3 linked regions of the Arabidopsis thaliana genome follow. The protein of the gene in region 1 purifies or fractionates together with the protein of each later gene. This does not show direct contact. Each region holds a gene or a part of one and is shown in the gene's direction. Other genes may lie near its edges.

The links.
Region 2: the proteins of AT2G45290 (region 1) and PDE345 fractionate together in Arabidopsis thaliana (co-fractionation; one large-scale study listed by BioGRID). This does not show direct contact.
Region 3: the proteins of AT2G45290 (region 1) and AT2G35040 fractionate together in Arabidopsis thaliana (co-fractionation; one large-scale study listed by BioGRID). This does not show direct contact.

Annotation. Positions count from the first base shown.
Region 1 is NC_003071.7:18,665,650-18,677,310, forward strand, and holds AT2G45290 (Transketolase), read left to right. Parts: upstream 1-6,847; 5' UTR 6,848-7,087; coding exon 7,088-7,570; intron 7,571-7,752; coding exon 7,753-7,843; intron 7,844-7,932; coding exon 7,933-8,038; intron 8,039-8,120; coding exon 8,121-8,403; intron 8,404-8,492; coding exon 8,493-8,641; intron 8,642-8,735; coding exon 8,736-8,889; intron 8,890-8,980; coding exon 8,981-9,940; 3' UTR 9,941-10,802; downstream 10,803-11,661. Other genes in the region: AT2G45260 (myosin-4 protein (DUF641)), read right to left, coding at 1-289; GCP1 (glycoprotease 1), read left to right, coding at 934-1,233, 1,328-1,372, 1,552-1,626, 1,806-1,902, 1,997-2,087, 2,175-2,224, 2,363-2,553, 2,652-2,737 and 5 more; RAD51C (RAS associated with diabetes protein 51C), read left to right, coding at 4,454-4,700, 4,841-4,927, 5,030-5,152, 5,235-5,268, 5,351-5,421, 5,500-5,726, 5,837-5,968, 6,054-6,120 and 1 more.
Region 2 is NC_003071.7:92,121-101,774, reverse strand, and holds PDE345 (Aldolase superfamily protein), read left to right. Parts: upstream 1-4,911; 5' UTR 4,912-5,283; coding exon 5,284-5,439; intron 5,440-5,551; coding exon 5,552-5,821; intron 5,822-5,916; coding exon 5,917-6,026; intron 6,027-6,129; coding exon 6,130-6,769; 3' UTR 6,770-7,048; downstream 7,049-9,654. Other genes in the region: RHA2B (RING-H2 finger protein 2B), read right to left, coding at 629-1,219; AT2G01130 (DEA(D/H)-box RNA helicase family protein), read left to right, coding at 7,140-7,280, 7,428-7,588, 7,660-7,747, 7,842-8,066, 8,151-8,246, 8,386-8,574, 8,691-8,850, 8,936-9,066 and 2 more. UniProt on the Arabidopsis thaliana protein: Plays a key role in glycolysis and gluconeogenesis.
Region 3 is NC_003071.7:14,761,546-14,772,446, reverse strand, and holds AT2G35040 (AICARFT/IMPCHase bienzyme family protein), read left to right. Parts: upstream 1-4,128; 5' UTR 4,129-4,177; coding exon 4,178-4,285; intron 4,286-4,359; exon of another isoform or gene 4,360-4,378; coding exon 4,379-4,478; intron 4,479-4,575; coding exon 4,576-4,651; intron 4,652-4,754; coding exon 4,755-4,851; intron 4,852-5,007; coding exon 5,008-5,110; intron 5,111-5,217; coding exon 5,218-5,351; intron 5,352-5,447; coding exon 5,448-5,625; intron 5,626-5,710; coding exon 5,711-5,868; intron 5,869-5,998; coding exon 5,999-6,208; intron 6,209-6,278; coding exon 6,279-6,626; intron 6,627-6,715; coding exon 6,716-6,842; intron 6,843-6,948; coding exon 6,949-7,100; 3' UTR 7,101-7,302; downstream 7,303-10,901. Other genes in the region: AT2G35050 (kinase superfamily with octicosapeptide/Phox/Bem1p domain-containing protein), read right to left, coding at 1-2,739; URED (urease accessory protein D), read left to right, coding at 7,402-7,500, 7,586-7,651, 7,737-7,811, 7,910-7,954, 8,089-8,322, 8,475-8,557, 8,655-8,823, 8,947-9,060; AT2G35030 (Pentatricopeptide repeat (PPR) superfamily protein), read left to right, coding at 9,484-10,901.

The DNA of each region.
Region 1 (11,661 bases):
GTTTGGGGTTATTCTCTCTGTAAAAATGCTTCATTTCGGAAAGATTCTTGAGTTCAGAAATGACAACTTTGTCCGCTGCCTGAATCTTCTCGGGATCGTAAGGAGTATGAGCACTTTGAAGCTCGATATAAGCAGATTTCAAAGACGAGATGTTTCCGAAGAGATTGGAGATAAGTGCTTCCATAGCTTCAGGATTCTGATTGATAGACTCTTCCATTGGTTGAGGATGGACTTTTTGGTTGTTGTTGCTCTCACGGAGTTGGGTTTCTTTCAACCCACTTGGTAGCATACTTGAAAACCACCAAACCAATTTGTATTCTCCTAATCTCTCTAATTCAAACCTAATTTCTCCTGCAAAAAAATGTCTTAGAATCAAACTTGTGGAACAGAAGAAGACTCAATTTGAAACATTTTGTGTTTACAGATCTCGAAGTGAATTATCATTCAAATGAAATCTAGCTATGGAAAATGTAAAAAATAAATTTCACAAACCCTAAAGATCTTTCGACAGTGTTCATTTCCAGATAAAGTTCACAAGCTTTTTGCAATTTAGGTTTGTGGTTAGACAATCAGCTGTTATAATTTAATCTGAATCTAGAGAAAGAGATCGAAAACTAAAGAGATCACCTGGATTTGGCTCCGTGTGTGTGTTTATTCACTATTCAGACCGGAGAACAAGTTACGCGGTCGCCGGAGATTTAGCCGGAGGTGAAGGAAATACAGAGAAAGGTATATACTTACTTTTCTAGGAAGTGAACGGAAATGGTAAAGCTCATTATTTTTCTACTTGCTTAAAACCTCTAAACCAGGACCCAATCACTATGGTCAAATTTAAACCGGTTCTGATTTAAACCGGATTAGGCTGCAATCCAAACCTCAGCTCATCTTCTGCACACAGCTCAAGTTTCCGTCTTTCTCTTTCGGTTCGGTGAAATGGTTCGTCTGTTTCTTACACTTTCTCCGGCGATTTCCCGATTCAATCTTTATCCAGGAATCTCTATTCTAGCGAGAAATAATAATTCTCTCAGATTACAAAAACACCATAAGCTTAAAACCAAAACCCCGACTTTCTCGTTAATCTCTCCTTCATCTTCACCCAATTTTCAAAGGACACGTTTTTATTCTACCGAAACAAGAATTTCCTCCTTACCCTATAGCGAAAACCCGAATTTTGATGATAATTTGGTTGTTCTGGGTATTGAAACGAGCTGCGACGACACTGCCGCAGCTGTTGTAAGTCCGTTTAATCACCTTTCTTCTTCTTGTCGTGTTAACTTATAGTATTAGTTTACTGAACCTTTCTGATGTTGGAATGTGTGGCTTTTAGGTGAGAGGTAATGGTGAAATTCTCAGTCAAGTCATTTCTTCTCAGGTAACGATCACTCCTTTGCTTTAGTGGATTCTTTGGCGTGCTTTTCATGTTTAGAAGACTCCAGTAATGACTTGAATACATAGTTTTGTCTGAGAAAGCCTTTCACTTTTAAAAATTTCTATCCTTTATATGATTCGTTAAGTTTCACCTGTTCTGATCTCGGAATTGGCAACATTAAGGCAGAATTGCTTGTCCAATATGGAGGCGTCGCTCCTAAACAGGCTGAAGAAGCACACTCCCGAGTTATCGATAAGGTAATATAGACTATTCATCGTTACAAAGCATTGCATGACTCGATAACTCTCAAGTATCTAGATTCAGTCTTTGTTCACAATTGGTCCAGATTCTTCATTTTGCCCTGAGATGTGCATATTTTTAGGCCGGTGGGGTTTAATGCTAACGGCACACAAAAATGTTGATTCATCGGTTGCAGGTTGTGCAAGACGCGCTTGATAAAGCCAATTTGACCGAGAAGGATCTCTCTGCTGTTGCTGTTACCATTGGACCTGGTTTGAGCCTCTGTCTACGTGGTAAGTTGGAGAAATAAGAATCCACTCATTGTACTTTGGAATGATGAGTGTTGTTAGAGTACTTAGACACAAGTGTTTATTTTGAGTTATACAGTTGGTGTGCGCAAGGCTAGAAGAGTTGCTGGTAACTTCAGTCTCCCAATCGTTGGGGTGCATCACATGGAGGCTCATGCTCTCGTTGCTAGGTATTGCTTAATCTGCTCGCGTTATGGTTTTGTTCCCATTTTTTGAGATTTGTGACTGGCTCATCAGCGTCTGATTTGTCTATGTAGATTAGTGGAACAAGAATTAAGCTTCCCTTTCATGGCATTGCTTATATCAGGTATTGCAAAATCAGTTAAGTTTAATGTAAGTGAGAAACTATCATCTTAGTGAAGTTATTCTTAAGCAAAATCAGTTTCACCGTAGGGATTAGGTTTCTATCTAAACTGAAACGCCCCTTTTCTTTTTTTCTATTTAGGAGGGCACAATCTTCTAGTTCTTGCGCATAAGCTTGGTCAGTACACACAACTTGGGACTACAGTAGATGATGCTATAGGTGAGGCATTTGACAAGACAGCTAAATGGCTCGGCCTCGATATGCACAGGAGTGGTGGACCAGCTGTTGAAGAACTTGCTCTGGAGGGTGATGCAAAGTCTGTTAAGTTTAATGTAAGTGACAAACTAGTTGCTGGTTGGTTAGATATCTTTTTTCATGTTCTACTCAATGTTCACATCATTTCTGTGATATTGTTTACCATGTTTATCAGGTTCCAATGAAATATCATAAAGATTGCAACTTTTCTTATGCTGGTTTGAAGACACAAGTGAGGCTAGCCATTGAAGCCAAAGAAATGTAAAATAGTGAGATCTTATAATCAGCTTCGGAAATTGTTTATCAGCGTTGTGTCACATATGCTGAAGCTTTGTGTTACAAAAATATTGGTCGTTTGCTGGATGTGCAGTGATGCTAAATGTCCCGTCTCTTCTGCAACAAACGAAGACAGAAGAAACCGTGCTGATATTGCCGCTTCTTTCCAGGTACAAATTTATCTCCGGTTTTAATGTTCTAGTGAAATGCTGATTTCTAAACATTTTCAGTTTGTATGAACCAGCGAGTAGCTGTCTTGCATCTGGAAGAAAAATGTGAGCGAGCAATAGACTGGGCATTAGAACTAGAGCCTTCTATTAAACATATGGTGAGGTTTAGAACAAGAAAAAGAAACCTCTGTTTTGCTTGACAAATGCTTCTAGACTAATATTGACTAAGCTTCAGGTAATCTCTGGTGGTGTTGCTTCAAACAAGTATGTACGACTCCGACTTAATAACATTGTCGAAAACAAAAACCTGAAACTTGTTTGCCCTCCTCCTAGCCTCTGCACAGACAATGGTAAATAGAGTTTGAAATTCTCCTACTGATCAAATTAGAGACACAGAGAATAGAAACTAACAAGTATTCATTAGTCTCACCAGGAGTAATGGTGGCTTGGACTGGTCTCGAGCATTTTCGTGTAGGAAGATATGATCCACCTCCACCTGCAACTGAACCTGAGGATTATGTGGTACTTTTTCTTAACAAAACTCGGTACTTGTAAAGATTCTATTGTTTGAAAAACTGATAACTTGGAGATTGATGTTTTGTTGGTTATGAATTTAGTATGATCTTCGACCGAGGTGGCCTCTTGGCGAGGAGTATGCGAAAGGAAGAAGCGAAGCTCGTTCTATGAGAACTGCACGGATCCATCCGTCACTTACTTCAATCATTAGAGCAGATTCTCTTCAACAACAAACACAAACGTAGCAAGAAGATTGTCTCCTGTAACTTAAAACCAGATATCCAAATCCTTGTATTCTTTTCACTGAGGAACAAACGCTTTTCCGGTTAATTTAATTTCGTTCAATCATTGGTCCCGGTTAACCTAAACCGTGTCTGGTTCATTATACTTTTTAGTTTATTCCTAGTTCCAACATTAAATGGCGCCAACATTGAGGAGAAAAAAAGAAGCTTGCAGAGATCAATTTTTCTCTAAAGATTCAGTGGCCGTGAGGAATTCTTTCAGCTTCAACATATGCTCTAATCTTCTCAGGCAGGGAGTAATGATGCCTTTGCTCGTCCATGGAAAGTCATGGGACGTCTTTTATCGATAAATCGGTTGTGGAGCGGAGTGTTCTGTAGCTTCGAGGCGGTCAGAGATGGATTTCCGGTCAAGAAGATGTGGAGAAGACCAATCGATTGTCACAGAGTCTGTTCTGCTAAGGAGTTTTCAAATGGATTTGAAGAAAAATGGCAGGCTTCATTGTTTTAAGGTTGTTGGTCTCAAATCCATTTGTATCTTTGCCCATTTTGGGCTTTAAATGAAAAGTTGTTCGACGAAAAAAAAAGGGAAAAAAATTAAAAAAACGTAAAAAAAGTTGCAAATATGGATCGAACTCACGACATTAGTAAAATTTAGATGTCGTTGAACCACTAGACTACTGAGAATTATACGATTTTTAATCCAATAGTTTTTAAATATTGATTCAACGATAGGGAGTTAAAAGACTTTCATCGTTATATATGTGGCGCCAACAATGATTTCATTTGGGCGGCGTAAATCGCCGGCGATTGAAGAAACTTCACTCGCGACTTCAGTCATGGAGGCATGGAGGTTACCGTTATCGCCTTCGATTAGAGGAAAACTGATATCGGCCGGTTATACTTGTCTGTCTTCGATTGCTTCCGTCTCTTCTTCTGATCTCGCTCGAGGTAAATTTCTGCTTTACCCTAATCTTAGAAGATTAGAATCTGTTGCTCGTTTTTCTCTGATTAGCACAGACAGTACACCTCAATTGATTAGTCCTTGGGTTGATAATTAGGGTTCTATTTAGTCTCTTGTTTAAGGCTTATTTCTGGAATAATTCTATATATGTGTGTGTGTGTGTTTTGAGTCATCTTTGATATCGTTGGTGTGTGAGTAGATGCAAATATCACAGAGGAGGAAGCATTTGAGATTTTGAAGCTGGCTAATCAAAGTTGTTGCAATGGAAGCCGTTCACTCATAAATGGTAACTTGATGAACTCCTCCTTGGAGCTATGTTGGTGGTTTTTCTCCTTCTTAAATGGTTCACTCAAGGATTCTCTTTATGAAATTTTGTGACTAAACAAAGGAGCAAAGAACGCTTGGGATATGCTTCACGAGGAGGAGTCTTTGCCGCGTATTACTACATCTTGCTCTGATCTTGATAACATTTTGGGCGGTGGAATTAGCTGTAGGGATGTTACAGAGATTGGTATGTCATCTCCATTATCATTCTTTCTCTGGTCCAATTTGAGATCATTAAGTGATTTAGTGGTTTGCTTATTTTCTCAAAGGTGGGGTACCAGGGATTGGCAAGACTCAGATTGGGTAAATCCGCTTCACTGCTTTCCTCTACTTTCTCATCATCATCAGAGTGTTTCCTCTTCTGTTAACTTCGATCTGGTTTCAGGATCCAGCTCTCTGTGAATGTTCAGATTCCACGTGAGTGTGGTGGTCTTGGAGGGAAAGCTATATATATCGGTATGTTTCTTTTAGTAGTGATGACTAATGCCTTGGTTGATCACTTACTTGGTTGTTAATGCTTTTTGTATGCTACAGATACAGAAGGTAGCTTCATGGTGGAGCGTGCTTTACAGATAGCAGAAGCTTGTGTAGAGGACATGGAAGAATACACAGGATACATGCATAAACATTTTCAAGCAAATCAAGTACAAATGAAACCAGAAGATATCTTAGAGAACATATTCTACTTCCGTGTCTGCAGTTACACCGAGCAAATCGCATTGGTCAATCATCTTGAAAAGTTCATCTCTGAAAACAAAGATGTAGGTATAATAATTTTGAAGTTCCATCCCGTTGATTTGCTGCTACAAGTGTATATTGTGACATAATTCGGCGGCTCACTAAGACTCTCTTTAATCTTTCATGGTTGCAGGTTAAAGTTGTAATCGTAGACAGTATCACCTTTCATTTCCGTCAGGACTATGATGACTTAGCCCAGAGGACACGAGTGCTCAGCGAAATGGCTTTAAAGTTCATGAAGCTTGCCAAAAAGTTCTCACTTGCGGTAAGAAGAAATGATCTAATTCACAATACAATCCTTGACTAGCTTAAGTGGAGGTTCCTAATCAACTCTTATGATCCAATCTCAGGTCGTGTTACTAAACCAGGTGACCACAAAGTTTAGTGAAGGCTCGTTTCAACTAGCGCTTGCTTTAGGTGAGCCAAACTCAAATCTACCATCTCAGTTTGCTATTATCATCATCATCATTCATTTGTTATGATACTTAAATGGTCAACTTGTGCTGTTTTCAGGCGATAGCTGGTCTCATTCGTGCACCAACCGAGTCATTCTGTATTGGAATGGTGATGAGCGTTACGCATATATCGATAAGTCCCCTTCACTTCCTTCAGCTTCGGCTTCATACACTGTAACCAGTAGAGGTCTAAGAAACTCATCCTCGAGTAGCAAGCGAGTCAAGATGATGTAATGACACACCACGACACAGTCACAAGGACATGAGTAAGCTTTCTCCGGTTTAGTTTTGGTTCAGTTCTTGATTCCATTAAACTGCATGAGTTTTTTTCGGCCCAATTGTTTCATAAAGCCCAAATGGGCAAATATTCGGTACAAAAGAAGGTCATAAGAAGGCCCACTAATTGCAAACATAACAAGAAAAAATGAGCAAAATAAAGACACGTGCTATGCAACGTGGGATGTTGAGAGAAAAAAAGGTTTCGTCAGCTACGCCGTCACCGACTGGGTCAATACCGGAGTTGGTGAATTGGTGACTAAAATGTATTTCCTAAATCTAAAGCAATTTTGCCCCCAAAAAAAAAAAAAATCTAAAGTAATTAGGTTCTTCACCAACCCTTGTCATAACCATGGCTTTTGCTTAACACACCAACCATGCCGCATTGTCAATCTATTTTTTACTTAAATTAAATTATTATTTTAATAATTAGCGTAAAAAGCAATGATTAGTTGAAAATTAAACAAAAGAATTAGATTCGAAAAATTGTTAAAGCCATAGAGCATCACAGCCGTCAAGATTGTGTCCTTTCTGAATCCAACGGTCAGATCGAGATCTCATTGGTTTATTAATAGCAACAGTCTCCTAAAATAGGTTTGCAGAGAAGCTTTCTCTTCTATTTTCTCTCTCTCAGTTAACCAGAGAGAGCATCAATGGCTTCTACTTCTTCTCTAGCGCTCTCACAAGCTCTCCTTACACGAGCCATCTCTCACAATGGCTCTGAAAACTGCGTCTCTATACCAGCTTTCTCTGCTCTCAAATCCACTTCTCCACGCACCAGTGGCACCATCTCTTCCCGTCGACGAAACGCCTCCACGATCAGTCACTCTCTCCGCCCTCTGGTTCGTGCAGCCGCCGTAGAGGCAATCGTGACAAGTTCTGATTCGTCCCTGGTTGATAAGTCGGTGAACACGATCAGGTTTCTGGCAATAGATGCGGTTGAGAAGGCGAAATCAGGTCATCCAGGTCTTCCTATGGGCTGTGCTCCGATGTCTCACATTTTGTACGATGAAGTCATGAAGTATAACCCCAAGAATCCTTACTGGTTTAACCGTGATCGTTTCGTTCTCTCTGCTGGACATGGATGCATGTTGCAATACGCTCTGCTTCACCTTGCTGGCTACGACAGCGTTAGGGTTTGTGTTCTCTTACTCTGCTTATTAAGTTTGTATCCTTTTAGTTTACATTATTGAGATTACATAGTAAATACACAGATTGTTCCGTTTCCCTGCTCATTTGGTGATTTTTGGAGTCTTGAGATTTAGAATTGTAGAACCAACTTAAGATTTGCTGAAGCAGTGTTGAAGTTTTTTATTAGGAGGAAGATTTGAAGAGCTTCCGTCAATGGGGAAGTAAGACTCCAGGACATCCTGAGAATTTTGAGACTCCTGGTGTTGAAGCCACTACTGGTTAGTTAGATTTTCTCTGCTTCTTTTGTGTGTTTTAGTTGATGTTGATCTTTTGTAATATAGCATTGCTTGTATTTGCCAACATGCAGGTCCTCTTGGACAAGGTATTGCAAATGCTGTTGGTTTAGCTCTTGCGGAGAAGCATTTGGCTGCTAGATTTAACAAACCTGACAATGAGATTGTTGACCACTACACGTAAGATTTTGACTCCTTCAACGGCACTTTTATTGTTATCTTTCTTGGATTGTGATGTTGTAAACTGACTGCTTTGGATTAGGTATTCGATTCTTGGAGATGGTTGTCAGATGGAAGGGATTTCAAATGAAGTTTGCTCTCTAGCTGGTCACTGGGGACTTGGAAAGCTAATCGCTTTCTACGATGACAATCACATTTCCATTGATGGAGACACAGATATTGCTTTTACCGAGAGCGTGGACAAACGCTTTGAAGCTCTTGGATGGCATGTTATCTGGGTAAAGAATGGAAACAATGGTTATGATGAGATCCGTGCTGCCATTAGGGAAGCTAAGGCTGTAACAGACAAGCCCACTTTGATTAAGGTATCTGCACACTTTTTTTAGCCATGAACTCATTAAGCAACGTTTGATCTCATGGCCTTTGGTGTTAATTGTTTTGTGGCATGGTTTAGGTCACTACTACAATTGGTTATGGTTCTCCCAACAAGGCAAACTCATACAGTGTCCATGGAGCTGCGCTTGGTGAGAAGGAAGTTGAGGCTACCCGAAACAATCTTGGGTGGCCATATGAGCCGTTCCATGTACCTGAGGATGTCAAAAGGTAAGTAGAACTTAACTATGCACTTCTATTTATGGTTATGGTTGTGGTATGAGAACCTGCTTTGGTAATTTACTATAATTCTTATGTTTTCTAGCCATTGGAGCCGTCACACGCCCGAAGGGGCTGCTCTTGAAGCTGATTGGAATGCCAAATTTGCAGCTTATGAGAAGAAATATCCGGAGGAAGCTGCAGAGTTGAAATCTATTATCTCAGGTGAATTGCCCGTTGGTTGGGAGAAGGCACTTCCTGTAAGTAGAACTTTCTGGTAATCTATAACGTTTTATCAGTATTCTTCATATATAAGGCTCTTATTTTAGGCAACTTAAAATTTTCATTTAGACATATACACCAGACTCTCCGGGTGATGCCACCAGAAACCTGTCTCAGCAATGTCTTAACGCACTTGCGAAAGCTGTGCCTGGTTTTCTTGGTGGGAGTGCTGACCTTGCATCTTCCAACATGACAATGCTTAAAGCATTCGGCAACTTCCAAAAAGCCACACCTGAAGAAAGAAACCTTAGATTTGGTGTCAGGGAACATGGTATGGGAGCTATCTGCAACGGCATTGCCCTTCACAGCCCCGGTTTTATCCCTTACTGCGCAACTTTCTTTGTGTTTACTGACTATATGAGAGCTGCAATGAGAATCTCGGCTTTGTCTGAAGCTGGTGTTATATACGTTATGACCCATGACTCCATTGGTCTTGGAGAAGATGGACCAACCCACCAACCCATCGAACACTTATCCAGTTTCCGTGCCATGCCCAATATTATGATGTTCCGTCCAGCTGATGGGAACGAAACAGCCGGTGCATACAAAATCGCTGTCACAAAACGTAAGACACCTTCTGTCTTAGCCTTATCTAGACAAAAGCTGCCTCAACTTCCAGGAACATCTATTGAGAGCGTCGAGAAAGGTGGATACACCATTTCTGACAACTCAACCGGTAACAAACCCGATGTGATCTTGATCGGAACTGGATCAGAGCTAGAGATTGCTGCTCAAGCTGCAGAGAAGTTAAGGGAACAAGGCAAAAGTGTGAGAGTTGTTTCCTTTGTATGTTGGGAGCTTTTCGACGAGCAATCAGATGCATACAAGGAAAGTGTTTTGCCATCTGATGTATCAGCTAGAGTTAGTATCGAAGCTGGATCGACTTTTGGATGGGGAAAGATCGTCGGAGGAAAAGGGAAATCGATTGGAATTGATACGTTTGGAGCAAGTGCACCAGCAGGAAAGCTTTATAAAGAGTTTGGTATCACCATTGAAGCTATGGTTGAAGCAGCCAAGTCACTTATTTAAAAAAGTATCTTACAGGTACTACCGAGGTTTGCATTTGAAGTAAGAGACATTCCATAAGCATTATCTTCTTTGTCCAAATAAAAATATACTCCTTCCAATCTTTTTATAAATGATGTTTAAAGCTTTCATTTTGGTTTTTAAATAAATGATGTTTTAAATTTTCAATGCAAAATTATTTTTATTGGTTGATTAAATAAATGATGTTTTAGGCTTTTATTTATATTTTTATTGTTTTCTTGTAATTAACATAGTTTTGATCTTTGTAAACAACAACTCTATTGTACTTTTATTCTTGATTAGTTGATTTTATTTCGCAAAGACATGTAATCCTTACATGTTAATTGCAATCGTCTCAACTAGTCTTACATCTACTTTGTAGTCTAATTGGTTGACACAAAAGGAATTTACGGAATTCTGTCTAGAATCTTTCCATTTTTGCTTACAAATATGGCACAACCGGAAATTCCCTTACTTATTTATGGAAAAACAAAAGTGTCATGTGTTATATATATTGGTCCCTTTTTATGTTTGTAGGGCTATCACTACCAATCCACAATGGAAGATTCACAACCGTGTACATCACGTAACCTAGATCATGCCGAAAACTCCACAGCAAGCATTCCTCTTAAACTCATCTTCGAAATACTATCGAGGCTTTCGACGAAATTTATCATCAGATTCCGATCCGTGTCGATGCTGTGACGCTCTATCATCGATAGTAAAGATTTCGTCGACGCCTTTCTGAATCCTCTTTTTTCAATGAAGACTCTTTTTTTAGTCCGCTTTATGGAATAATACTTATGTTTTAACGTAATGAATCTTTATATCTATTTGTATTTTTCAGTTACACTTTTGTTTGGACGTTTTGTTTTCAAAGAACTTCTCAAGTTTTCTTTTCCTTTTTTCTTCTTGTAGTTTGCCTTGCTCGTTGGTGAATACACTACATTAATTGAGGGCACTTGCGATTATGATGTTCTCCCGCGTGAAAGAGCATTGACCTCTCTTTTATTCAAAACATCACATAACAGAGAGTCTGTGAGGTTTGGGACATCGCATTCTCAAATCTCAATATAAGTGGTTTTGGTCGAATGCTAGAAAAGGGTGACTTGTATGTTGTGTCGCCGCTAGTGTTCGTACATACAGTTTATGATCTAACGTATCTATAACATATTATTAATAGATATTATTTTGTTTTAATTTTGCACATTGTTTATAAATTAAGTGCAAAAATTTTTAGCTCCAAGAGATCGCCTTTGCTAATCAATAAAATTGAACGCATTTAATAAAATTGTAAGAGCAAACTCGCACTGATACGTAGAATAAATTTGTTGCTTTTGCCTTCACGACACCATTACCTATAGTTAATACTCCAAAAGAAATAGCAGATTCAACATACAACGTGCAAGACCAAAAAACAAATGACTCGTAATCTCCAGAGAATCATAATTCATAACATGGGAGATTGTCCACAAAAAACATAAATTCCCTTTCATGTCTTTTTGTTAGAAAACCCATTTCTTAAGGCCCAACAAAAAACATAATCCCCTTTCATGTCTTTTTGTTAGAAACCCCATTTATCTTTCTTGAGGCCCAATTTGAAAACCCACATTTTCTTTCACCTAACCCACCAAAGCCTTTGCACATGTTGACGTGAACACCAAACTAACACGTGTCATACTGCCAGTGGTTATGATAAATGCTCATACCATACCAGAGTCATA
Region 2 (9,654 bases), about 19 Mb from region 1:
ACGAAAACTATTTAGCGGAGCTACAACTAGTTACTAAAAGATTGGACGAATTTGCAACTCACATTACTACATATAGGATATTTTTGATAAACTTTAGACACAGACAGTCTTTACAATAACAAAATTAATACAAGTGTAGTTTGTTACCAAATGAGGTGCTATGATATTTTCTTGTAGAATTTCGACACAATAAATAGTGTTACCTACCTTTTAACGTCAATAGCAATAATGCAAAGTGTGGAAACCAGAACAAAGTCCATAGTGTAAAGCTTCAAGATTGTCTAGAATGCAAAATTAAATAGTAGTAGGCTTTGTCAAATATACTACAAAAAGATTTACCAGCCAAGGAGGAATACATGAAGCTTAATTTGATTCTTTTCATACTAAGAATTTACAGAGTGGAAATCTGAAAAACAAAAGGACCTCTCTTCCGATCTGAGATTCCTCAAAAACATAGCTAAATATAGAAGGTTATATATATAGATATATAAGAAGAATCAATCTTCTGTAGTAAGAAATAAGAATCTTCTCCTAAAAAGGAAAGAGGAGAAGGAAGATAAATAAAAAAGCATCCTCCCTCCATCTTCTTCTCTCTTGCTTTCTTCTTTCTTCTTTCTTCACATAAAAATCAATGAGATGATGCAGTAGAGGTAGAGCGAAGAGGGAAGGCTGAGATCGACGCATCACTGCCATGTCCCTGATGATGATGAGGTAGCAATGGAGATCTACAGAGCGGGCAATTGAAGTTGAGATGTTGAAGCCAGCCTTCCAAACACTGCTTATGGAAGACGTGTCTGCAATCTAGCTTCCTCACTTCTTCTCCGGTCTTGAGTTTAGACAGACACACGATGCAGTCAGAGGCTGCGTTGTCGGAGTAGCGGTACGAGAAGAGGCGATTTAGGTTGAGCTGGTCGGCGAGGACGCTGAGGTTTGAAGTAACAACAACAACGGGGGCAGAAGAAGGGAAGAGGAGAAGAGACCGGACGTGTCTGAAGAAAGTTGCGAGGAGAGCCAGTAGCATCAGTGGGATCGAATCTGATGACACGTCGGAGAGCTGACCTTGTAGTCCCATTGATATGGTTTTAGAGATTGTTTTTGTTACTTTGGTTCTTGTTGTTGTTCTTGCTGCATATACTACCTTGCATCTCATCTCTTTCTTCTTCTTTATATGGATGGAGAAGAAGAAGAAATGACACAGGCCACGTGTTGTGGGACCCATTATTTTGCTTTTGGTTAAGCCCTTTCACTTTCAGTCCTTTTCGTTTTTTCCCATCTTCATACTTTTCGCCCCGCTATTTGCATTTTATGATGAATATGACCCAAAACATTTCACTTTTCTTTATTCTCACCCACATTTTCGGTTTATTGGAAAGAGATACTAAAGTCAAAATTGAATGACTCTAAAATGTTGTTGGATGCTGATTTCATATCTCTATCTAAGCTCCTTTCTATCTCCAAAGACCAAACAAAATTTTACAGAGGCCTTCAATCATTGAGCTTTAGAACCTAAAGAAGAAAAACACTGAATCATCATAATGATCTTTCATGATCGCATCTATTCCTTTGTGTCGCGCTTCTTCTTGTGATAGATATTATTAGCAATTTAGCATGCCCAATGTTTAGTCCTAAGATCATGGCTCATATCATTCATTTTAATTACTATTAATATGTTTCACTTATTAATGCCCCACAAATATAACATGATAGTAAATAATTAAGTCTTTGAATGGATGTTGTGGTTAGTGCAGATTAATCCGTTAGCGGTTCAGTCCATACTAATTTTAGATCGAACAACAATCCGCTGCAAATTTAATTTAAAGACGGTTCGTAGTTAGTCCACAACAATTTTTATTTTTTATTTTTTGGAATCCGCACTATTACATAATATAATTTATAAATAGTAAATAAAACACGATTTGGTATATAGACATTTTTGTCTTCTTAAACCGCTATAACCATTCAAAGTCTAAGTTTTAGTTATTTTCTTGTCGATTACTCATATATATTGATCAGTTTTCAGAATTTCCCAACATGGAAAAAGTATCAATTGTCGACCTTTGTTATATTATTTACAAATCCCCCAGCTAGCTAGTTAAATAGTATGTTTCAATTATTTTACTCATTCATAGTTTCATTTAATTATATGATATACTTAAGTGTAGAACATTGGAGAAGCATTTTTGGAATATAAAAAGGAAGTGGGCGGTTTGTGATTAATTCTTAATTAACAACTGACAGGGAACCAACTAATTAAATTATCCATCCTTTGTGAGAGATTGTTTAATATATAAAGCAATTCATAATTTGTGAACTTGACCAAGATTTTAGCACGATCCTCGCTTCGCTTCTTGTCTCCCTTGTGACGCATATCTAATATAAACATAAATTCATTATGTATCATGTATGTATGATCTTAGTTCTATATTGACGCAAGAAAATTCAAGTATTTGTTCACTTCGTGCTACCTATGAATGTACATAAATTTTTTTTAAAAAAATATTTGTTACTAACGATCATATAAGATAGTATTAAGTTATTCAGAAAACATAATTAAAATAGAAATTGAAGGTGTAGGTGTGTGGTTTAGTCATCGATATAGCCAACCAGTGACAACCACCTCGACTCTCTTTGACCTAATTATTTGACCACTCCTTCCACTTTACATCATAAAATCTGAAACCACTTACCATCTCTCGTCACATAGCTAGCAGACGATCGTCTTCATTATGTGGTTGTGACTCTCATTCTAATGTAATCCTGGTAAAAATAGCATGCGAGTGTCTTATCGATCCTCGTTGTTTATATGATTAAATCATTTATTATAAAATAAACAAAACACAACTAATATTTTTTGCATTAAAAATTTAAAATATTTTAGGAGGAGTGATTGTTTCGACGAAAATATATTTTATATAGTATGAACATGAATGAGTAAAAGGTAACTCATTTTGGTGTGTGTGTCAAATTTTGATTTTAAGTTTTTTTTGTTTGTTTGTTAAGTGTATCAACGAATCTCTAGTTCTAGCTTTGATACCAACTGAAGTAGCGGAAGTTTTAATGGATAGAACTAGACATCCGTTGATTCCTCGGAATACCAGAAAACTAGAATTTTTTGGATCTGTTGATTCCTCAGAATAACAGAAACGAGAGAACGTAAGGAATTCGTTGATTCTCTTCGAATACCGAATCCTACATCTTTTTATAACCGTTGAAATCTTTCAAGATCTACCGAAAGCAAGGAATTAGAGAATACTCTTCTCTGAAAAGGTAAAAGCTTAATTTTATTAATCAATTAACTGAATACAATTTTAAGTTCAAAAGTCTTAATTATAATAAATCCAAAATTTTAGAAAATTCATAAAACAATAAATAAAAATTATCTAAATAATTAAATAAAAATATGAGGAAATAATAAAGACAATTTGAAATTATCCAAATATATACTGCATTAGGTAGCATGCGGCTTGCAAGACTATAGTATTTGTTTTAGAAACTATAGGTCTATTAGCTAGACAGAATTAAGAGCTATAGAAAAGTTGTTAAAATTGATAATGCGATGCTTTTTCACATAACTCAAGAAAACCAAATCAAGTTCCGATCCATCATTGTTTGTCGACCAAGGGATGATCAGTCGATAGGTCCACGTACGTTGTTGTTTAAATGAAAATAGTTAACATGGATGTAAATTTAATAAGTAAACAATGAAAATGACAAATGAAGTAGAGAAGATGGAGAAAACAGGACCAAGGGCTTGTAAAAGAATTGCCAAATAAACAACAACGTGGTCCTATCACCTTCTGCTTCTCCCTACGCACCAACCAGTCAACCATACTCAATAGGTTTCATTACAAGACAAATAACACACTCTCTTTTGTCTTTTCTCTTTTTTCGAATGGGAAACACTGACTAGCTTTGTTTGTATATTTAAATCGTTTCTAACAGAGAGAGCGTGGCGAAGTGTGAACACAAACACCTAGAAAGATCTGAGAGTCAATTCTTCTGGGTGACATATGCATGTGAACTGTATGAAGACGCGTTTTGGGGTTTATCGTTTAAAAATCATTAGATATGTGACTGACCAAAGTGTTAATCAAAGATCTGCACCAACACCTTTTACATATACTATATTCTAATACGTAGAGGCAGCGTAGAACACTCTAGAAGAAGTACTAGGTGAATTATGATCGATATGCCATTCATCTGAGAGCAGAGAATGGAACTTTACGCATGTTTAATTAAAACAACTTTCAAACTTGTCTTAAAATATGAAAATTACTAGTTCCTACTCTGATTAAGATAAGATTGGCATTATATTCATATTCTTGTACCTAATATATAATTGAAGCACTTGAACATATTTAGTCATATAGTCTTGAATTTTGTTGTTGTTTTTCCCTTTTTTTGTGGGGTCAAACTGAGTTGCTGTAAATTTGAACATACATATGAATATGCATTTAAATTGTGGCCAACAGTTTTAGAAAACTGTTATCAAATCAAAGATACTTTAAAAATACAAAAAAGTAGTGTAAGATACAAGAAAGAAAAAGTTGCCACTTTCTCATGTCGCATATATATAACGTTTCTCGGAACTTGCATTTTCTCTCTTCTTGTTTACACCTTCCTCGCCTGTTACGAGTAACACCAATATTTGGACTTATTGGATGGTTGCCTTAATAAAAAGGAAAAAAAAAAAGAAAAAGACCCAAGAACACCAAAGCTGTCGTGGGCTCTTATTGTTTATCTGAAACTAAGCCCTATTACTATTGGGCCCAAAAATCAATTACGTAAAAGAGTTTGCCTGTTATATAAGTTGTTTACTATTGTGGCCCAACAGATAAAAAAGGGAATATCCGGCCCATTCTCTTTCATCACACTCCTTGAAGAGGTGATAGGTCATGTAATTTGATTAATTAAGAAAAACGATTGAGTTAGACGAAGAGGCAATGGTAGGAGAAGGATAGTTTGGGTAGACGAAACGGTAGAGTTTTGGTTATTCTCAGATTCTTGTTGTTGAGAGACTGATGAACTACTAGAAAAAATTACCAGTATCTCCCTCAAGGTTAAAAGCGTCATTTACGGTAAATTGGGGAATAAAATGGTAAAGAGAAGGAGGCTTTTTGGTGGTGGGAGTAGGTGATGCCAAAGTAGACGACTACTAATAGTAGTAAACAAAACCTTTGGCTTTAACACTCTCCTCCAAATCCCAGATCTCTCTCTGTCTCTGTCCCGCGGAGTCCCCGAGAGATTGATCACCATCACTTTTGTACCTTCCTTGTACTACCTATGGCGTCTGCTAGCTTCGTTAAGCCTAACACCCTCTCTTCTCCATGGATCGGCCAACGCTCCTTTGCTCACACCTCTGCTTCTTCTTCTCCTCCTCCTCGAGTCTCCTTCGCGATCCGCGCCGGTGCTTACTCCGACGAGCTTGTTAAAACCGCCGTGAGTATCCTCCTTATCCTCTCTCTCTCTTTGATGCTTTATTAGTTTGGATTCGTTTCCGTAATTCTCAAAGTCAAACGTAGAGTGAGATTCTCTGATTATTGCGTAATAGAAAAGCATTGCATCCCCTGGGAGAGGTATCTTGGCGATCGATGAGTCCAATGCAACCTGTGGGAAGAGGCTTGCTTCTATCGGCTTGGATAACACCGAGGACAACCGTCAGGCCTACAGGCAACTTCTGCTTACCACTCCTGGCCTCGGCGATTACATCTCTGGTTCCATTCTCTTCGAGGAGACTCTTTACCAGTCCACCAAGGACGGTAAGACCTTTGTCGATTGCTTGCGCGATGCCAACATCGTCCCTGGCATCAAAGTTGACAAGGTATTTTTTATCCATTTATTCTGTCATCATCATCATAAGTAGTTGAGTTTTTATGTGTGTTGAGTGAAGTGTTGACAATGCAATCCACCGCGTAGGGCTTGTCTCCCCTAGCCGGTTCCAACGAAGAGTCTTGGTGCCAAGGCTTGGATGGATTGGCCTCACGCTCTGCTGAGTACTACAAGCAAGGCGCTCGTTTTGCCAAGTGGTATGTCATATATTTCACCATGTTATCTTACATATGGTATTAACTCTTTGGTTTGATGTGAAAATGCTCTTCCTAGTTTTGATGTTTGTGTGTGTTTGTCTAGGAGGACAGTGGTGAGTGTTCCCTGCGGTCCTTCAGCACTGGCTGTGAAGGAAGCTGCGTGGGGGCTGGCTCGCTATGCAGCCATCTCTCAGGATAATGGTCTTGTCCCCATTGTGGAGCCAGAGATCCTTCTGGACGGGGACCACCCAATAGAGAGGACTCTGGAGGTGGCAGAGAAAGTGTGGTCAGAGGTGTTCTTCTACTTGGCACAGAACAACGTCATGTTTGAGGGCATTCTGTTGAAGCCGAGCATGGTCACCCCAGGCGCTGAGCACAAGAACAAGGCCTCTCCCGAGACCGTTGCAGATTTCACGCTCACCATGCTGAAAAGGAGGGTTCCTCCGGCTGTCCCAGGGATCATGTTTCTGTCAGGAGGACAATCAGAGGCAGAGGCCACACTGAACCTGAACGCCATGAACCAGAGCCCAAACCCATGGCATGTGTCCTTCTCATACGCACGTGCCCTGCAGAACTCCGTGCTCAGAACATGGCAAGGCAAGCCGGAGAAGATTGAGGCCTCGCAGAAGGCACTGTTGGTGAGGGCAAAGGCCAACTCACTGGCCCAGCTCGGCAAATACTCAGCCGAGGGAGAGAACGAGGATGCCAAGAAAGGAATGTTTGTCAAGGGTTACACCTACTGATTTGTTAATTTCAGAGATCGTAATAAGGATTAAGGACCATTGTTGTCTTTTGTTTTTTTTTCCCTTTTTTGTTTTGTCTCTGAGAAAGAAAGACAGTCACGAGTCACGATCATATCATATATGTATGTGAGCAACGTGAAAACATCCTCTTAAATCTATATTTCCTCTCAGAAAGACTGATTACTGTTTGACTGCAAAACCAAATTGTGTAATTCTTCTTTTAAGTTTACAAAATTTTTGGAGGGCGATTAGGTAAAATTGGCATAGTTGCAAGTTCAGTGTTAGAAGAAGCAGCGGAGATCTCTCTCCCTCTTTATAGTTTACTTTTGACTTACAGTAGAGAGAGTTTAGAGTTTTGAATTTGGCTCCGATGACGAATCGTCTTCCTCCTTCGCTGTACGTTCCGCCTCACCAGCGCCTTGGTTCCGATTACGGCTTCAATCCTGTTCCTCTCTCTCCAGTTCGCTATGTCTCCGCTTATGATGACCGCGTTTCCGAGGATCGCCAACCGGTTAACTTCTTCTTCATCTTTTTTTCATGCATCTCTGAGCTTTTTGATTGATGCTCTTACAATGGCGATTCTAGTTTTCGATTTGCTCTCGAGTAGCATTTTATAAAAATCCCTTTATCTTTCTACTGGAACCATATCAATTTGCAGCAGGAGGGTACCTTTCACTGTGCCGACTTGGATGATTGGAATAAGAGATTTTCAATGCTTTTGAAAGATTCTTTAAAGCAAGAAGTTATTTCCAGGGAGAAAAAAGATAGACGGGATTTTGATAAACTTGCTGCTCTGGCTACAACCCTGGGATTGTATAGGTACATCAATCATGCTGCTCCTTTCTTTCTTCTTTCTCACTAGTACAACCATTTCTGTTTCTTTTTTGCAGTCATGCATATGCTAAGGTTGTTGTCTTCAGTAAGATCCCACTCCCCAACTATAGGTTTGATTTAGATGACAAGAAGCCACAGAGGGAGGTATTATCCGCTGCTCCTCACTCTCTTCTCTTACACTTAACGCAAGACGGCTTGTTTTTCTTTAAAGAGCAGATATATACAAAAATATTTACAGGTGAATTTGCATACTGACCTTCTTCAAAGAGTTGAAGCTTACCTCACAGAATACCTCAGTAAAAGCTCTAATAGGATAGATAGAGTCCCTGCCAATTCCGTCTCAAGAACTAGTAGCATTAGCAGTACTGATGAATGGTTTTCTGAGCAACCACTACCCATCTCTGCCACCAAAATTCTTTGGCAAAGGAGTTTGCAGCTGCGTGATCGACAACAATATTGGCAGGTTCTGTTTATATTAGGTCCTTAATATATTCTTCATCTATGCTTTTTCATCGTCCATTTAGTTTTGATGTGTTCCATTGATTAGGCATCCGTAGAAGGCCAAAGAATGTTGGATTCTCGTACAAGTCTCCCTGCTTTCAAGCAAAGGCATTCAGTATTGACAGCTATTTCACAAAATCAGGTCTGCACAGAAGATAACTGGAAGCATGCTTGAGCTCAGTCGTGTGACATCTGTGTCAAATAGAAAATCGAATATCAACTTGACGGTCGTCTTGGTTTTGTATTAGTTCCGATTACCCACATAAATTTTCGTATTGCAGGTTATTGTTATCTCTGGAGAAACAGGTTGCGGCAAGACCACACAAATCCCGCAGTTTATTTTAGAATCCGAGATTGAAGCAAACCGTGGAGCTTTTTCCAGTATCATATGTACTCAACCAAGGAGAATATCTGCTATGTCTGTTTCGGAGAGGGTTGCTTACGAGAGAGGAGAGCAGTTGGGTGAATCTGTGAGTTTCACCCTGCATGCTCCTATATCTAGTTAGCGTGGACCCTTCTTATACTTTGAATTCCTCTCTTTTTTACTGATTAAGCTCTCTTGCTTTTTTCTTACTTTTTTGTGAAGGTTGGATATAAAGTTCGATTGGAAGGTGTTAAAGGAAGAGATACCCGCTTACTCTTCTGCACCACAGGCATTTTGTTGAGACGCTTGTTGGTAGATAGAAATTTAAGAGGAGTTACTCATGTTATCGTGGATGAAATTCATGAGCGTGGAATGAATGAAGGTATGTATACTTTTGCTATCAAGCAGCTCCTCATTTTTAGCTTAACTTGATTTAGGTGTCTTACTATATTACTTTTGTATTTTAGATTTCCTTCTTATCATTCTTAAGGATCTGCTATCTCGTCGCTCAGAGCTTAAGCTGATTTTGATGAGTGCAACTTTAGATGCGGAGCTTTTCTCGTCATACTTTGGTGGGGCAGGTGTCATTTATATTCCAGTAAGTAAGAAACATATTTGTTTATCCTCTTTAGAACATTTCAAGATATTTAATCTTTTGCTGAGTTCAATATTCCTTGGATCTATATGCTCTGATTAACCCCAGTGAAACTACTAATATTGTCTTCTTCACTATAGGGATTTACATATCCAGTTCGTAGTCATTTCCTAGAGGATATTCTGGAGATGACCCGGTACAGATTGACTCCATACAATCAAATTGATGATTATGGTCAAGAAAGAACGTGGAAGATGAACAAACAGATCCCAAAAAAACGGAAGAGCCAAATTACCTTTGTCGTTGAGGTATCTAGAAAAAGAATATCAGCAGCTTAACTCTACATGTTAGGTCCTCATTTCTTTTTCCCTTATGCAAACAGGACGCACTGAGAGCAGCTGACTTCAAGGAGTTTAGCCCTGAGACTCGAGAGTCTTTATCTTGTTGGTATCCTGATTGCATTGGTTTTAACCTCATAGAATTTCTCCTTTGCAATATATGTGAGAATGAGGGTCCTGGTGGTATTTTAATTTTTTTGACTGGGTGGGATGATATCAGCTCTCTGAAAGAAAAACTGCAGATTCATCCGAT
Region 3 (10,901 bases), 3.9 Mb from region 1:
TGGCTTGATATTTCCATCAAAGTGGATTTGTGGATGTATCTGACTTGAGGCAACTTTCTCAGACTGCAATGGTGGGTAGCTATAATCAATAGGAACTCCGTTGGTGTTAGTCATGGAAGTGGGAAATCCAGGGTGGTCCTGATCCATAAGGGATAGATCCTTCCTCTCAAACTCATCCTGCGCCAAATTTCGAAAATACGACCAAGTTTTAGGGTCATTATTCTGAATATTTAAACTCACACCAGCTCCATCGGCATGCAATGGCCCTAATCCAGGGAAGTTCAGAGACTCTTTCGTTTTTAATATATCAGCAAGAAACTCACGAGGAAACCTATCATTTATATCAACAACTATATCCCCCTTCTCATTGTGTCCTTGTGGAACAGCCTTTGCTGAAGTCTCTGTCTGACTTACATGCTCCGGGGTGTTAGTTTCCACGTTTTTTTTTTCAGACTGTGACATACTACCCTCGGCTGTCCAGATGCTATCAGGAGCTGGTATTACTGGCGCAGTAGGATGAACATTCTGGGACTCCATATTTGCTTCATGAGAAGTTTCAGATGATTCGCTGATAGGCAGGAAAGCATCTGATGTTGTTTGAGCCATTACAAATTGAGAAGCAAGGGAATCATCAGATTTAGACAAACGGTTAGTTTCTGTTGGATCTCGTACAGTTCGCTCAGAATGAAAGACTCTTTGCTGAGTCACAGGCTGGTCGAAATTGCTCACATTAGATGAACTATTATTTGAAGTACCATGTCCAGATACTGAGAATCCTCCAAGCAGACAAAATTGATTGTCCTGATTCTTTTTCATGCCTTCATTTGTTGTATCGAAGGCACCCGTTTTCTCCTGGGATGTTCTAAGACTTTTTTCTGGATAAACCAAGGATTTTGGATCTGGTGTTGAATTGGATATCTTCATGGAAATAGGAGCTTCTTCCTTGAGGGCTTGATCTGGGACCATAGAATCACTAGATACAGAGGAAACGGAATATTCATTGACCCTTGTGGTGGAGTGTTCTTTTCTCATCTTTGGCTCCTTTGCTGACAGATTGTTCTCAACATGGTCCTCGGATTTCCTAAGACTTTTCTCTGAGAGAGTTGAAGAACTTGGATCTGGTGTTGAACTAGATGTTTGTGTGACAATTGGAGCTTCTTCCTTCGGGAGGTCATCTGGGACTATTAAATCACTAGGCATAGAAGAAACAGGATACTCATTGACCCTTGGGGTTGAGGATTCTCTCCTCATCTTTGGCTCCTTTGCTGAAAGATTGCTCTCGACAGTAGATATAGGATGATCATTTACCTTCTGAAATGAGTCATCTCTTCTCATTTTGGCCTCTTTTGATGAAGTTTCTGGATCTTGTACATGAAAGATCTGCTCCTCACGCAAAAATCCTTGCTCAGGTTTTTGTGGATAGTGGGGCACCAGGCTTTCAAGAGGTGTTTCAGGATTCACAGAATACGGGATATAATGAGGTTGTGGTTGAACATGTAAAGGAGCAGACCTCTTCTCATCTATATAGCCTATGCTTGCCATGTGACCTGACGTGTAAATTTGGTGGTTACCAAGTCCGGGGAACTGCAATTGTTGTCCTAGATAAGGCTGTGAAAATGGCTCATTTCCAGTAGAAAATCCTGTTACAGGTTGAGAAGTTTGGCTCGCTGGTAAAGATTCATTACCTGCTAAGGGAGTAAGCGAAGCCACTGCTGGTTCTGTAGCAGCCCGATCGATCTTCCTATCAAAATTCCCATGAAGTAGTTCATCCAAATTGTTCCCGGGAGGACTTAATCCAAGGGAACTTCTCCGTGAACTTAGATCCATCCCATTGACAGCAACAACATACTGAACCTCAGAATCACCCTCTGCATGTTCCATAACAAACTGAGCCTCCTCTATATCACTGCTTGAAAACAAGAACATCCTGGGCTTCTCAGATCCTCCATTACCAAACACGATACATTCTTCCATCATGTTTTGTAAATCCTCGTCAGAAGATACAGAGACTAGGGCATCAAGATCCTCTCCTGGCAGCTGATATTTTATGGTGCGTGCTTCAGGAAATATTTCTTTCATTTTATGCATGAGTTCTTGGAAAGAAATAGTCTTGCTAATCCGTATGATACGCGTTTCACCACCTACATACCTAAGTTTCTGATCTCTGGGGCGGGGTATAACTTTACCACCAAAACTACACAAGAACTTCGCACGGTTCAAAGAGCTATCAGAAGCTCTAGAAGAAACCAAACTATGACGCCTTTGACCAGTATCATTTTTCGAAGAGATAACTGGGGCTGACTGGACCAGTTCATGATAGGTCTTATCTTCAATTCTAGAAGGGGGTTTCCTCTCGTGCTCAAAGCTCTGACGTTTTTCTTCTATGTTAAGCACTGTAGCGTTAGGGCCACTCTCTGACATTGGATGAACCATTCCCAGAGCACTTAAGTTAACAGAAACAGGCATACCACTGTGCTCACCATACACATTTGGGATGAACTGCGGTTTCATAATAACCCTATCTCTCATAAACTCAAAAGCAAATTCTTCACCGGTCTGTATTGAGTAGTTTAGCACTGGCCGAGCAGGGGTTGAAACACCATAATCTGGAGGTCGTACATAAGTGTTAACATTAGTTGAAGAGTCGTGGGAAAACCTTTGATTAATGGAGCCAAGTCCCTCATCTCTAGGGTCAGGGGCAGTATACCGAACATGTTCATAACCTTTTGCTTGATCCATGTTTTCTTTCTCAAGGTGTCTATCTATCTAGTTCATAAGCTCCCTCACAAACGCTTGTAGGCGACATATCATGATCATGACCCAAGTAAAATCTTTGCATAAGCATCCTTCGCAAATTTCTAACGTTTTGGCTGCAGAACAGGACGACTTCTATCATGAACAACTCAAACTCTCATTGAGGTGCCTGAAATAGGAGAAGAGTAACTTTACTCAAGTAGTCAAACATATTCAAGAACAAAAAAACCAAAATAGCATACGGCTAAAACTCAGAAAACCATACTATTTAAGGAACATTTTCGGTATACAAACCAATAAAACTCTTTACTCTAGCAGGGACAGATCATCCAGTACAAATATCTGACTGTGCATACTTTCCAACATGAAACTAGCTAAAATGACTACTTTCTAGTCTCTTCAAGTTTAAACTAACAGGAATCGCTGAAACTAAAATCGATCAACTTCACCAAACTATTAGCAAACCCATCGTAACTTTGAGAGAGTGTAAATCAACAGATCAAAACATAGAACTAAATCCAAAATTCAATCAAGTCCGTGAAACAATTCCAAACCTCAAAAAGGAAACAAATAAGCGTCATTTCGAACCAAAAACTGAGCTAAAAACCTCTACCCAACCAAAAAACAAAAGCCGATCAAGCCATCAAAACCACTGAAACTCTAGAAAATGCAAGATCTGAGTATCATTACCCGAAATTCAGGTGGAAACACATCGGATCCAGAGATTTTCGATAATAATGATCAAAATTCAAAAACAGCATACACCTAAAAGGAAGACGAGTAAGCAAAGAAGGAGAGAAGTAGAGAAAAAGGTTTATACCAGGAAAGGCGGCACCAGAGACTGTGAAGCGTCCTCGGTTTGACGATCGATGAGTAGGAGAAGAAGCCAAGTCCTTCCTTAAAATCTCTCTTCTAATTTTGACAATTCGAAAAACAAAACTATATTCTCGAGAAAAAAACTATTATGCCTACCAATAAAATAATTGTTATCTACTTACATTATTTAAAATTCTGAAAAGCAAATAAAATATCATATAAAACATAAGAAGCTTTCGTCATCTCCATAGTTAGTCTTTTGTAATATTACCACTCTGATCCAATAAAGTTTTATTTCTTACTAATTAGTTTACACTTGAGAATTTTGGTTTCTACTAAATTTTTTAAAATTTGGAGTTAAAATAGTTTAGTTTTATTTTTGGGGGAAATAAAAAGAGAAGCTTTATTCCAATTTTCCAAATATTCCAGGTGTAATCTAACTGTCAAGGCCATAATAATAAATACATAATTCCACCTGACGCCAATAATAAATTACATATTTTCCTTTTTTTTTTATTTTTTTTTCTAATTTATTTCCAAAATTAGCCGCAAAATCACAAAACCTAACAGAGCTCAACACTACACACTGTTTCAAAATCAGACTACTATGCTCAGCTCAGCCGCCACCGCCACCTCCGTGAGTGCTCGCTCCGGCGATATTCTCTGCGGCTTGTTTCGCAAAAAATCCGTCGCGCCTTTTCGTTTTACTCAGCCTGTGAGTTCTCCTCTGTGTGTGGACGTGTTCCTTTGTGTCTTTGTTTCATGTTCTGCTAAACTTTTTAATATTAGTGGAATTTTCAATGAGCAGGTCTATCGTACGTCGCTGTGTCCAAGTTTCGTTGCTGTTCGAGCCATGGCAGAGTCTCAGACTGCTCAGAGGAATCAGCCGCAATCCTCAGGCTCCTCTGGTTTACAATTTTTCTTTTTGCTGCAATTTCAAATTCAGTGATCGATTTTCAGTTACGTTTTAGTGATTTTCAAATAATCGGGCTTTAATTGAATCAGGGGAGAAGCAAGCTTTGATATCTCTATCTGACAAGAGGGACTTGGCTTCTCTTGGCAACGGTCTGCAAGAATTGGGGTATGTGTTCTTCACAACTCTCTCTTACTTAGAACTATACAAATTTTGGTTTTGTTTCTATCTTATATGTAAATGATTCCTTTTTTCATTGATATTTGTGTAGATACACTATTGTTTCTACTGGAGGAACTGCCTCTACTTTGGAGAATGCTGGAGTCTCTGTGACCAAAGTGGAGAAGCTTACTCATTTTCCAGAAATGGCATGTTTTTCTTTTCTCTTATGCTCGCTGCTCTTGCTAAAAGTTTTGGTCTTGTGATCTCGCTGATATTTATATTTAAGTTTTGGTTTATACCATTGTTTTGTTGAGTTTAGTATATTAAACTTAGCTCTCCTTTTTTTTTTTCTTCTCTTAAAGCTTGATGGCCGTGTGAAAACTTTGCATCCAAACATACATGGTGGTATCCTCGCTAGAAGGGATGTGGAGCATCATATGGAAGCTCTTAATGAGCATGGGATTGGTGAGTTTTGACCTTTGATTGATCCTCTACATTAAGCTTGAGACTAAGTCATTTATAGTGTCTCCTTATGTTTAACTGTACCTTTTTTTTTTTTAATTCTATGACAGGTACATTTGATGTTGTGGTTGTCAATTTGTACCCGTTCTATGAAAAAGTTACTGCTCCAGGTGGGATCAGTTTTGAGGATGGGATTGAGAACATTGACATTGGTGGCCCTGCTATGATTAGAGCAGCTGCTAAGGTAATACATATATCTGTGCATATGAGACTTTTTCTTTACACTTGCAAGATTATTTTCAAGATTATAAATGTATATTTTCTATTGTTTTTTCAACAGAACCACAAAGACGTTCTCATTGTTGTCGATTCAGGAGATTATCAAGCTGTTTTGGAGTATCTCAAAGGAGGACAGAGCGACCAACAATTCCGCAGAAAACTTGCGTGGAAGGCCTTTCAGCATGTTGCTGCATATGATTCTGCGGTTTCAGAATGGCTATGGAAGCAGACTGAAGGAAGTATGTGATTGTTTTTATGTGATCCTCCTTACACTAGTTATGGCAATTGGCAACTTACATTGATTGATATTCATGTCTTTCTCAGAAGAGAAGTTCCCTCCCAGCTTTACAGTTCCGCTTGTACTTAAGAGTTCTCTTCGTTACGGTGAAAATCCTCATCAAAAAGCTGCATTTTATGTTGATAAGAGCCTTGCTGAAGTGAATGCCGGTGGTATCGCAACAGCGATTCAGCATCATGGAAAGGTAAGAAAGTATGCTACTTTTTCTGTCCGGTGTAATTTACAGAGCAAATAGTTTTAAACTGCCATTTATATCCTTATCCTCGCTTTCAAGCCTTATTATGTTTAACTTTTCTATTTATTTCTGTGAGCAGGAAATGTCATACAACAACTATCTTGATGCTGACGCTGCATGGAACTGTGTGTCGGAATTTGAAAACCCAACATGTGTAGTCGTGAAGCATACAAATCCTTGTGGTGTGGCCTCTCGTGATGATATTCTTGAGGCTTACCGGCTAGCTGTAAAAGCTGACCCAGTTAGTGCCTTTGGTGGCATTGTAGCTTTCAATGTTGAAGTTGACGAGGTAATCAAAAGTCAAACTACTGTTGTCCCATACATTATTCAATTGTTTAGTGATCTGTAACTGTCTCTAGGTTCTTGCGAGGGAGATCCGAGAGTTCAGGAGCCCAACAGACGGGGAAACTAGAATGTTTTATGAAATCGTGGTTGCTCCAAAGTATACTGCTAAAGGTCTTGAAGTCCTCAAAGGGAAATCAAAAACTTTGAGGATCCTCGAAGCTAAAAAGAATGACCAAGGGAAACTATCGCTCAGACAGGTTGGTGGCGGCTGGTTGGCTCAGGACTCGGACGATTTAACTCCAGAAGACATCAGCTTCAATTCTGTCTCAGACAAAACTCCGACTGAAAGCGAACTTGCGGATGCAAAATTTGCCTGGCTCTGCGTTAAGCATGTCAAGAGCAATGCCATTGTGATAGCAAAGGTTGGATTTTCCTCTCTGATTCCTTTTCTTGTTTCTCTTTCTGTACTTGTTTGCTAGTAGTTTATTCTGATTCTTGGGTTGGCTCATAGAACAATTGTATGCTGGGGATGGGAAGCGGACAGCCAAACCGAGTAGAGAGTCTGAGAATAGCTTTCAAGAAAGCTGGGGAGGAAGCTAAAGGAGCTGCCTTGGCCAGTGACGCATTCTTCCCATTCGGTATATATATTTTTCTCTCCGAAACCATTCTTCTGTCTGAAATGACTCATCAATCAACAAATGTTAGCCGTTCTGAATTGGAAATTTGTTGTTGTGTGAATTGCAGCTTGGAAAGATGCGGTGGAAGAGGCGTGCCAGATGGGAATAGGAGTGATAGCAGAACCTGGAGGCAGTATTAGAGACCAAGACGCTATTGATTGCTGCAAAAAGTATGGAGTCTCTCTGCTCTTCACCAACGTTAGACATTTCCGCCATTAAGGACACATCCCTCCAGTTTTGCTCTTATAAACACATCCAAGAGAGTTTCTGAAGAAGAAAACCCACCAAACAAAACACAAAGAGTGGGAAATAAAACTGTTGTAACATTAATTTGGATTGCGTTCGAGTTTATGTATGATTAGAACCTGAGAGCTGTTCCTACTTATAAATTTGACATTTTTCACCCAAAATCATATCTTTCTCTACATCCAGAAACTGATGAGATTTGCATATAAAATATTCAACATTTCTACTCAAACTGGAGTGAGAAAGTCGACGACAGTGTGGAGAGAGATCAGAGATGGCGACAGGGAAAGTGGTGGTGGAGAAAGTGGGAGGAAGATCTACAGCTACGAGCTGCTTCTCGAAGTATCCTCTCAAGTTCTTACTTCCTAGCAAGGTCTCCTCTCTCTCTCTACGTAGAGTTCACAGTTTCGAATTTTCAATCTTTAGTTATTAAAGTTCCGGCGACACTGAACTTTCAGGCAGCTCCTGCTGGAACTGACGTTGTCTGGATTTACAGTATCACTTATGGTGGCGGCATTGTCTCTGTATTTCCCTATTTCTCTGTCTCTTTATTAATGAATTTGCCATCGATGCGCTTGAATCAATCTAGTTCTTGTTCAAATTATGTAGGGCGATTCGATTTCATGTGAATTCACAATTGGTGATGGATGCACTGCAGTTATTACAACGCAGTCTTCTACTAAGGTTGAATCAATTTAGGGCTTTTCTCTCTCTTTGCAATGGACACTAATTTCATCCTACGTGGTTGACTTTCTGTTGATGGATCTTGTGATTTCACACAGGTGTACAAGGCAATAGGATCAAAGTGTTCTGAACAGATATTGGAAGTAATGTTTCTTTCACATTTCTACTAAAATCATTTTGAGCTTTCTTAGTAGAACAGAGTGCTATTGCAATAGAATAGGACCATTTTCTTTGATTCATGTTCCTGATTGATCTTTCGGTTTGTTGTGTGCAGTAGGCGAGAATCGGGAGTGAAGCTCTTTTGGTTGTGATACCAGATCCAGTGACTTGCTTCTCCACTGCCCGGTACTATCAGAAACAGATCTTTAGATTGCTTTCAGATTCCAATCTGGTCCTTGTGGATTGGATCACAAGCGGGCGTCACGCTAATGGCGAAAAATGGGATTTCGAGTTTTATAAGAGCATCAACAACGTCTACCTGGAAGATGATCACCCTTTATTCCTTGACACAGTTAGTTAAAATCTCATACCCACTTTCAGATTTGTAGAGAATGGTTTACCTTAAACCAAGTAAAATCCCGCTTGCAAATCGTGTATGAAGTATTGATAGAACATTCATGAGCGTGGTTAGATCTTCCTTTGGTAATGGTTTATTCATTGCAGGTGCTACTAGAGAAGAGGAGCATCCAAAGCATAGCCGAACGGATGCAAGACTATCAAGCTATAGCAATGGTCATACTCTTCGGGTATGCAATTGCAAAACATTTAGAACACGTTTTAGAGTTGGTAGTGCTCTCTATGAGAATTTGGATCTTTGCTAAATATGTTTGAAAATGGATCAAGGGCAAAGCTGAAGGAAATCCAAAAGCAAGTCCAAGAAAATGTGAAAAACATGATGTCAGAACAATTACAGCTCTCTTATAGTTCTCGGAGACACAAGTCTGAGTCAAGCTCTCGTAATCGCTTCATGAAACCAGAGTTTATAGCTTCCTGTAGCACTTTCGGCCCTGAGGTTGGTATCATCCTTTCTTTCCACTTCCTACAATCAGGAAACCGTGAACCATATATAGCTTTACATAAAACTAGACAATATTAAAAGACTGTAAATGGCTAATCAAAGTTGTATATGTTGCAGGGAAAGGGAGTTGTGGTTAGAATAGCTTCGGATTCTACAGAGTCTGTCTACAATTTTTTGAGGCAACAATTGGCTGAGCTTGAACCAGTTCTTGGTCAAGCTCCTTATGCTTGACTCTTTTTTCTTCTTCTTTTTTGACTTGACTCAAAGGTCCATACAATTGAAATGAATAAGGTAATAGGAAACCAAATATCAAAATATGATTTGTCTTGTGCCAAACACGACATACAAGCCAAAATGAGCTTGTTTTGCTGCAAAAGTCCCCTATTTTCAAAGTTCACTTATAACAGGGGGTCACTTTGTAATAAAGTATAAATATTATGGGTCACTTTGTAAAATCAGTGTTCTTCCGAGAGTTTGTTCTTCCTAGCATACAATGTTTTACAAACGCCATTGACGACCACGACAGGAGCCAAGCCTCAGTTTTTGACAACTCGAGTATCTCTGAGAAAAAGCTCCTTGGTCGCTTCAACACTTGTCTTTCCCTATTATCGACCTACGCAGTAAATAAGATTACTTATTGCTATCTTTTAGCTGATGCAATCTCGCGCATTGTCGCGCCTGAGAAGTTACTACAAAAGATCATCGGTATTTCCCAGCTCAGACAATGACCGATCCGTGCAACTATTTAATCTCGTACGTTCGATTTACTCTTCCAGCTCAAGACCACGTGTGCCACAACCCGAATGGCTGATTGGGGAGCTGTGCAAAGTAGGTAAAATTGCAGAAGCACGCAAACTGTTCGACGGATTGCCTGAGAGAGATGTGGTCACATGGACGCATGTGATTACTGGGTATATTAAGTTAGGGGATATGAGAGAAGCTAGGGAATTGTTCGATAGGGTTGATTCTAGGAAAAATGTGGTGACTTGGACAGCCATGGTTAGTGGGTACTTGAGATCTAAGCAGCTTTCTATAGCTGAGATGCTTTTTCAGGAAATGCCTGAGAGAAATGTAGTTTCTTGGAATACTATGATTGATGGGTATGCTCAAAGTGGGAGAATTGATAAAGCCCTGGAACTGTTTGATGAAATGCCTGAGAGAAACATTGTTTCTTGGAACTCAATGGTTAAAGCGCTGGTGCAGCGTGGGAGGATAGATGAGGCGATGAATCTATTCGAAAGAATGCCTAGAAGGGATGTCGTTTCATGGACTGCTATGGTCGATGGATTGGCAAAGAACGGTAAGGTAGATGAAGCGAGACGACTTTTTGATTGTATGCCTGAGAGAAATATCATTTCTTGGAATGCAATGATCACAGGTTATGCACAAAACAATAGGATAGACGAAGCTGACCAACTCTTTCAAGTGATGCCGGAGAGGGACTTTGCTTCATGGAATACAATGATCACAGGATTTATACGGAATAGGGAAATGAACAAAGCATGTGGTTTATTTGACCGGATGCCTGAAAAGAATGTCATTTCCTGGACCACGATGATTACAGGATATGTCGAGAATAAAGAGAACGAAGAGGCACTTAATGTTTTCTCAAAGATGTTAAGGGATGGCAGTGTTAAGCCTAACGTAGGAACTTATGTGAGCATTTTAAGCGCCTGTAGTGACTTGGCTGGGCTTGTAGAAGGGCAGCAGATTCACCAGTTGATATCTAAGTCGGTCCACCAAAAGAACGAAATTGTGACTTCAGCGCTTCTTAACATGTACTCGAAATCCGGTGAACTGATTGCTGCTAGGAAGATGTTCGATAATGGACTGGTATGCCAGCGGGATTTGATATCATGGAACAGTATGATTGCGGTTTATGCACATCACGGGCATGGGAAGGAAGCAATTGAAATGTATAACCAGATGCGGAAACACGGGTTCAAACCTAGTGCGGTGACCTATCTGAACTTGCTATTTGCGTGCAGCCATGCCGGACTGGTAGAGAAAGGAATGGAGTTCTTTAAGGATCTTGTGAGAGACGAGTCACTTCCTCTGCGAGAAGAGCACTA